Lonchura striata: one gene and its partner. The protein of the gene in region 2 interacts with the protein of the main gene of each other region in a pairwise test. Links are inferred from orthologs where the notes say so. Each region holds a gene or a part of one and is shown on either strand. Other genes may lie near its edges.

Region 1 (3,906 bases), on a different chromosome or scaffold from region 2:
AAGCTCCTCCTGACACTGGTTCTCCGTCACAAACAGAGGGCAACATCCCATGCATTATTTGGTGAAAGCTTCTAGTAATAGATACACACTTTATTCCTCTTCCCACTCACCAAGGAATTAGATACATATTTTTAACCAGTTTTTCCACCAAGTCCCAAACCCACTGCATGTGGCTACTGAATTAATTTTCTCCCCCACTGAATGGAACCCTCTGAACAAGAAGAGGACCGCAGCAGTCACGGAAAGGTCTTGCATCACTGTTTCTCAGGTGATCCCTGTGACAATTATATGCCTATGCGGGAGATGAAAGGCCTTGCAGTGTAGCAGGAGAAATAGTAGAACAGCAGTTTCTAGGATGTGCTTCATCATTCAAGAGTGCTTTTGGAAAGACAGAACGGTGCAATCAGCACCCTGGAGCATGATACAGAGCTTTTATAATCATTATTGTAACTGCTTCTTATATACAAACTGGTCTACCAGACTGAAAACTAAAACAATTTGCAGTGTATTGCTAATGTATCAAAGTCACCCCAAGTCTATCACATCAGCATACTTTTCTCAAACACTATCACAATGAGCCAGCTTTTATTTCAAAGTACCCTGAAAGTTAAACAGCAGGAAAAAAAGTGAATTCACACACTTCATCTCGTAACCAGGATAGGGCCAGTCAGATACAGAAGTGAAACATAGTACTGAAACATAGTACTGCCACCAAGTTCAAACTCTGAATGGATAGCAGACTTCTGTTATTGTGTAGCAGGTAAAGATCTATATCTGTGAGGCAATTTTAATCTAACTGCTCGCTCAATAGATAGAGAATAGCTAGAAGGAAGGCTAGGGTATAACTTTACAGGCTGAAAGGCCCTCCACGAGTAAAAGTAAAATTCTGCCACATGAAAAATCTGGATTACATTGTAGAAGAACACTTATCCCTCTTGGCCTTAAGAGTTATTGGAGTTCAGCCCAATTAGAGCAAATACAAGTTGATTCAATTAAGGATTGCATCCTGGAAAAGTCCTCAGATCTTGCTTAACTTCAGCAGAATATATGGCAGATGTGATTATCTCCACATCTTGCAGTATATAGGCAAAAAAAATATTACCCTCTTCTGAGATTACAGCTGCCAATAGTTGTTTTAAAAGTTATCACATATTACAATAATATTTATGATCTGGCCCTGTTTGGTCATGCTGGAAAAAACAAAAAACCAGCCTGAATTTGTAACAACGCTCTCTATGCCAATTACTGAGAACTTTTACAACTGTAATCTCATAACCTCTAGTCCTTAAATTTTTAGTGGAAGCAAAACATAGCTAAATTATGCAGAGGGAGACTGAAGTATCAGGCTTTACCAAAAATGAGGCAGCATTACACAGTGCAGAACAGGAAAAGTTTCCCCTACACGCTCTCAGCAATTCTCAGTTAGAATAATTTCTGTTTCAATCATCTAAACATGTACCATCTGTTCTTAATACTGCTTTCTGCAGAATTATCAGATTGTAAATTTGCTCTTGTAAATTTATTAACTATTCTCCAGTACTTCTAAAATACTCTTCTATATCTCACCTACTTTTTCTGGTTACACATTCCATTTCTTAATACCTCTAACAGCCCCTTTCACAATACTCTCTCAGAAAGATTAATAGCACAGTACAAACACTGAAGTAAAAACAAGATCTTACAAGACAAAGGGAACAGAGAAATAAGCCCAACTGAGATACGGCGTATAACTAAATTCACTCTCTTTAACTTGCTTCAACTTGCTTTTCTTTTCTGACAAGTTTTCAACCAACACCCAACTCATCTCTTCCCACTCCAATCCTTTATCATTGAATTTTCTGCAGGAGTTCAAGTATTTTAGCTCAGATACCATGTCCCACTCTTAGCTGCAGTCTGCTCTCGACCTGAAGGAGAAAAGATGACAAACACAAGCCACAAGAAGCACTAACCTGGTGACCTTGTCCGACCGACACATAGTTCTTCTGCAGACAGTTTCAGCGAATGATTGTTTCCTTTGTGATGACAAAGCCATTAACAACTTATGACCCCTCTCAGGCATGGCAGGAACATCCCTGCACCTCTCCCGCGTTTGGGTACTCCCAGGTTGAAAGCCACAGCTGCAGCTGCCGTCTGCTCAACACACAAAAGGAGAAGAAAGCCTGCCCCAGCTGCTTGTGCATCTGCAGTGCACTGTGGCCAAAAGTGACGCCAGGCAATGACTTGTTTCCTTTGTTACTTCCTGTTCCCCCCACTGGCTGCGGGCAGCGCTATCTCTGTCAGATCTCCCAGCTTCCCAGACAGGTTATAAATCAATTCCCGCACAGCTCCAACGCCCGGCAGACATCGTGCTAGAAAGCAGAGGGGATTTTCCAGTGCTCACTTTCTTCCTACGCACCTTTCAATCAATCACTTTCCTATGGGAGAAGAAGAAAGTCGTCCTTTTTTCTCCCAGTGTGCTGGAGCTCCCACTCTGGCAGAGACACGGCTCAGAAATGCTGCCCGTGCTCCTGAAGAGCCTGTGCCTCAGCTACTTGCACTGCACCACAGAACTGTAAGTATTTAACCTGTTTTCTTCCCCACAGCTGGAGCTTCTCCTTCCCTCTTCAACCCAAGACAATCAAAACAGCCATCCTGAAAAATTCTGCAGCATGAATATGCTTTAGAACAAGTCTGGCCGGTATGGTTGATGGTACACAAACCACAAAAGGCAATAAAATTCAAATTCAAGAGGTTGACAGTGCACAATTGCTCACAAGTATCGCCAACCGATAATGAATAAATGTAATTGATTTACAATTACTTTCATCTGGCGTTCTTAAAAGGATTCAAGTGTTTCACTAACTTGTCTAGATTGAAACAACATTCCAGGCTCAAAAGTTTGAGCACGACAAAATCAACTAGCAAGTTTCTGAATTATGGTCAAAACATCTATAAGTATGTCAAGAAAAGCTTACTTCACATATTTTGGAGGAAATAGCCATAAATCTGTATCCCAAAATAGAAGGAAGAAGTCTCCATACAACATCTCTTTTTGTAAATGACCCAACAGTCAAAGCACAAAAGAAAGTAACATTTCAGAAACTGCTCACGGCTGTATGGGCTAGAAAAACCAGCTCTCCCACCATAGGGCACCCATTTGCACTCCTTCCATTGCCAGGCTCTATAGGAAGGGAAACTGAACCATAAATACCACACACCTGCTGTTAGCCAAAAGGATCTGCATATCAGAACAAAAGATCCCAGTGCTCTGCAATAAGGATCAATACCCAGTTGTCTCAGTGGCTTGACAGATTTTTCACACAGAAAGTAATTACAGAGGACTAATCTCAGTGCTTTGTGAATTAATTCACTTGCTTTATTTGTTACAGTATCCGTTACTCATTTAAGGCCCACTGCTCTAAATCTATCTTTCCTCCCTGAGTTCTCTTTTATCTAAGTATACTCTTCTGAGTCTGCATTAGCATCTTTGCAAGCTGTTTCTCCAATTTAGTAAAAAAAAAAATAGATTTAGAATGACAGCACTTGAGTATATGCAATACTGGAAAAAATACTTCAGTTCCTCTTTCCCTTTTCTGATATGACACACCTAACTCCTGGTTTTCCCCTCCAAACTCCACGACTTCTACTACCACACTCTTTGGCCTCAACATTCTCATTAAACCATGCCTCTTCATCCAACACATGTTCCTGAGGTACTGCTTTTCCCCTCTCACCTTTCTCATGCTGTACTCTCTCTCTTTCCTAATTTTAGTACTCAGAAATGAAGCAGAATTTTTCATTTCAAGTTCGAAGATCCCATTTTGACTTCTCTGGTGATTTCCAACACTATCAAGATGGTCCCAGAGTCAGAACAGAAGACACTTCACACACACACACACAACAGGTGTTCCACCAAGGAACAACCAA
Region 2 (3,906 bases):
CCCTCCCCCAGCTCACCTGAGCCCCTCCCCAGCTCACCTGGGCCCCTCGGGGTGCACTGAGGGCTGCAGCACCTGCATGTGAGCCTGGGCCCCTCCCCAAGCTCACCTGGGCCCCTCCCCAGCTCACCTGAGCCCCTCGGGCTGCAGCACCTGCATGTGAGCCTGGGCCCCTCCCCAAGCTCACCTGAGCCCTTCCCCAGCTCACCTGAGCCCCTCCCCAGCTCACCTGAGCCCTTCCCCAGCTCACCCGAGCCCTTCCCCAGCTCACCTGAGCCCTTCCCCAGCTCACCTGGACCCCTCCCCAGCTCACCTGAGCCCCTCCCCAGCTCACCTGGACCCCTCCCCAGCTCACCTGAGCCCCTCCCCAGCTCACCTGAGCCCCTCCCCAGCTCACCTGAGCCCTTCCCCAGCTCACCCGGACCCCTCCCCAGCTCACCTGAGCCCTTCCCCAGCTCACCTGGACCCCTCCCAAGCTCACCCGAGCCCCTCCCCAGCTCACCCGGACCCCTCCCCAGCTCACCCGGGCCCCTGGAGCTCTGCAAGGGGCTCGGAGGCGTCCCCGGAGCCGTGTCCTCCCCAGGCTGGCCCCAGCTGCCCCGAGGGCTGTCCCCACTCACCCAGTTGACCAGGACGTATTTGGGCAGCCCCGAGTTGGGATCCTTCACGCGGCAGAAGCCGTACATCACCTTCCCGCTGTTGAGCTCCTCCACCATCTCCTGCAGCCCCCCGTCTGCCCGGGGGAAGGAGAGGGGTGAGTGCAGCCCCCCGGGCGTGCGGGGAGCAGCCAGCCCCGTCCCAGCTCTGCTGGATGTGGCTCACCAGGGGCTCGGAGCCCGTGCTTGCTCTGCAAACACGGCCTGAGCATTTACCACCCGTGGGAGCCAAGCCCCCGCCTCTGCTCGCCCACTGCCACCCCCAGCAGCCTTCATCACCCAGCTCCTCTTCCTCGGGCCTTTGCAAACCCCACACGGGCCGATCCTGGATCTCAGGCCTGAGAGAGAAGGGGAAGGAGCTGCTCACGCTCAGTCAATTAGAAGCTTTAATGAGAGCAGGCAGCTGCCAGCTTTGCCCACAGGTTCCTGCACAAAGCCCGGCTCAGAAGCACCTCTGTGAGCGGGGCAATGGGGCTGGGAGTGGCGGAGGAACTGGCTGAGCCTTGTTCCTGCTTTGCAAGTAGAGAAGGAACCAAAAGGGCAGCACGGGGCAAGGTCCTGCCAGGGCAGCACGGGGAAACTCCTGCCTCGACGCCTCCCTCCCTGTTACACCCACCTAGAGTGGTCTCAGTGCTGGTTTGAGCACCTGGGAGTGAACCCCAGAGGGAAAATCCCACACAGGGCTCAGGCAGGGGCGATGGAAAGGGACCAGCATTGCCCCCACTACATCCATAACTACCAGGAAAGGAGGAAAACCATCAAAAATGCAGACTCTCATCTCAAAAATATTCCCCCAGACCACAGTTCCTCCTGTGCTGGGCTGGCTGAGCCCTGAAAAGTGGGAAAAGAGCCACTGGTCCCTGTCAGCCCTGGCAGGAGCAAAGAGACCAACACAGCTCACTCCGCTCTGCAGCATCACCCGATCACTTCCTTCTCCCTATTAAATATTTATGATTTGGCTCTAAATTTGGCTCCAAACCCGGCAGGGAAGTTGAAGGTTGGAAGTCTGAAGCTGGTTGGTGAGCGCTGGCTGGGGGGAGCTCGGGGCATGCTCTCTGCAGCTCCCCAAAACTCCCCAAAATTCCCCAAAACCCCATCTGGGATTTGACAAGAGTCCTCCTCAACAGAATTCCCCAGCACCAAAGCCCTGGCTCCGTGGGCTCCACCTGTGGGACATCCCAGAAACTTCCACAGGCTGGGAAAAGCACTTGGAAATCACAGGAGAAGCTGGGGAGGGATGAGAAGATGCAAATGCCAAGCGTGGGGAAACCAGCCTGGTGCTGCTGCCCGGAGGCTTCGGCTTCACAGCCAGCGGGGCTTGGGTGGGAATCAGACAAAAACAAAATAAAATGAAAAAAATAAAACAGAACTGCAGGAAGAAGGGAACTGGACATGAGGGGATTTAGGAGCACCGAGTAGGGAGGCCTGGATGAGTGAGTGGCTTTGGAGGACCACGTGGCCCTGCCTAAATCCGGGATCTAAAATACTTGAGGGGTGCAAAGAGGGGCCAAGATCCAAACTTTGCATCCCCTGGAAGGGAGGCAAACGAAAGGAAAGGGGAAGCAGAGCTGGCACTGAGGCTCTGCTCCAGGTCCCTCACTCTGAAATCCCACTGGACACCCCGACACAGCTCCCAGCCCTGTCCCAGCAGCATGGGCACCCCAAAACACCCCCGGGGATTAAACCCCCCGACATCTCAGGCCCCAGACACCTGGAAATGGGGGATGGTCCCCAAAATCCTCACCTCCAGAGCCAGCCACTCGCAGGTCATTGCTGTTGCCTTCGTAGGTGAAGAGAGCCCTAAAATGAAGGCAGAAATGGGATTTTTGGCCAGCACAGCGCTTATCTGGGGTGTTCCCACACCCCTGGCGCCTCCCGAGGGGCAGAGCCCCAGAGGGACCCGCCACCCCCAGCCCGGGGACCCCCTGAGCCCCCCAACCCCGTCCCCAAATCCCCCCGTGTCCCCCAGACCCACCGGCCCATACCTGCCCTCCCCCCCCGCCCATCCCCATCCCCTCCCCACCCCCTCGCATGGCCCCGCACCCCCATCCCCCACCCGCCACCCACATCCCCGAGCCCGTCCCGGCCCCCACCCCCACCCATCCCCACCCATCCCCGGTGCCGGTCCCGGTGCCGGTGCCGGTCCCGGTGCCGGTGCCGGTCCCGCACCAGTCCGTGCGGCTGCCCGCCGCCACCACGCTCCCGTAGGCCTCCTGCAGCGCCCGCCCGTTCTTGGCCAGGTTCAGCGCCATGGCCGCGCCCGCTCCGCCCGCCGGTGCTACCGGCACCGCCCCCGGTACCGCCCCGGGGTGATACCGGCACCGCCCCGCCGTGATACCGGTACCGCCCCCGGTACCGCCCCCGGTACCGCCCCGCCGTGTACCGGCCCCGCCCCCGGCCCCGCCCCCGGCCCCGCCCCCGGTACCGCCCCGGGGTGATACCGGCACCGCCCCCGGTACCGCCCCGCCGTGTACCGGCACCGCCCCCGGTACCGCCCCCGGTACCGCCCCGCCGTGATACCGGCACCGCCCCCGGTACCGCCCCCGGTACCGCCCCGCCGTGATACCGGCACCGCCCCCGGCACCGCCCCCGGTACCGCCCTCGGCCCCGCCCCCGGTACCGGCCCCGCCCCGTGCAGCCCCGCCCCACCAGGCCACGCCCACGGCCCATAGACCCCGCCCCTAATTTCACAGGCCACGCCCCCGTGAGGCTAGACCACGCCCCCGAGCGCGAGAATCCCCCCAAATTGCAGAGCCCGCCCCCAAAAACCCCGGCAGGGAGACCCCCCAACAGACAGGCCCCGCCCCTTGCGGGGTCCCTGCGGACCCCCATCCCCGGGGCTCCCGGGGCTCCCGGGGCTCCTCTGCCCCGGGGCGGTCCGGGGTACCCGGCCCGGTTCGATTCTGGGAGACCCCCGCCCAGCGGGGTCCCGCAGCTCCGGTTCTCGGGGACCCCATCCCGCGCTGTCCCGGTTCTCGGGGACCCCATCCCGCCTTGTCCCGGTTCTCGGGGACCCCATCCCGCCTTGTCCCGGTTCTCGGGGACCCCATCCCGCGCTGTCCCGGGACAGCCGCCCCGGTTCTCGGGGTTCTCTGCGGCAGCGCAGCCCCGGCAGCACCGCCCGCAGCCCGCGCAGCGCTCCCGCGGCCCCGGGGGCAGAAAATCGCCTTTTTCGGGGTTTCCCCCATTTCCCAGCCTGAGGAGGGGCACAGCGGGGATGTCGGAGGGTACCGGGGCTTTTTGGGGCTGTAAA

What was found.
Region 1: the proteins of DBNL (region 2) and SH3BP2 interact in binary tests that used the Homo sapiens proteins (3 or more experiments, as listed by UniProt). The link is inferred for Lonchura striata from reciprocal best matches to the Homo sapiens genes DBNL and SH3BP2.

What each region holds. Positions count from the first base shown.
Region 1 is NC_134606.1:9,292,139-9,296,044, reverse strand, and holds the start of SH3BP2 (SH3 domain-binding protein 2), read right to left. Parts: upstream 2,180-3,906; 5' UTR 2,060-2,179; coding exon 1,950-2,059; intron 1-1,949. UniProt on the Homo sapiens protein: Binds differentially to the SH3 domains of certain proteins of signal transduction pathways. Binds to phosphatidylinositols; linking the hemopoietic tyrosine kinase fes to the cytoplasmic membrane in a phosphorylation dependent mechanism.
Region 2 is NC_134634.1:5,292,034-5,295,939, reverse strand, and holds the start of DBNL (drebrin-like protein), read right to left. Parts: upstream 2,944-3,906; 5' UTR 2,906-2,943; coding exon 2,823-2,905; intron 2,454-2,822; coding exon 2,398-2,453; intron 731-2,397; coding exon 618-730; intron 1-617. UniProt on the Homo sapiens protein: Adapter protein that binds F-actin and DNM1, and thereby plays a role in receptor-mediated endocytosis.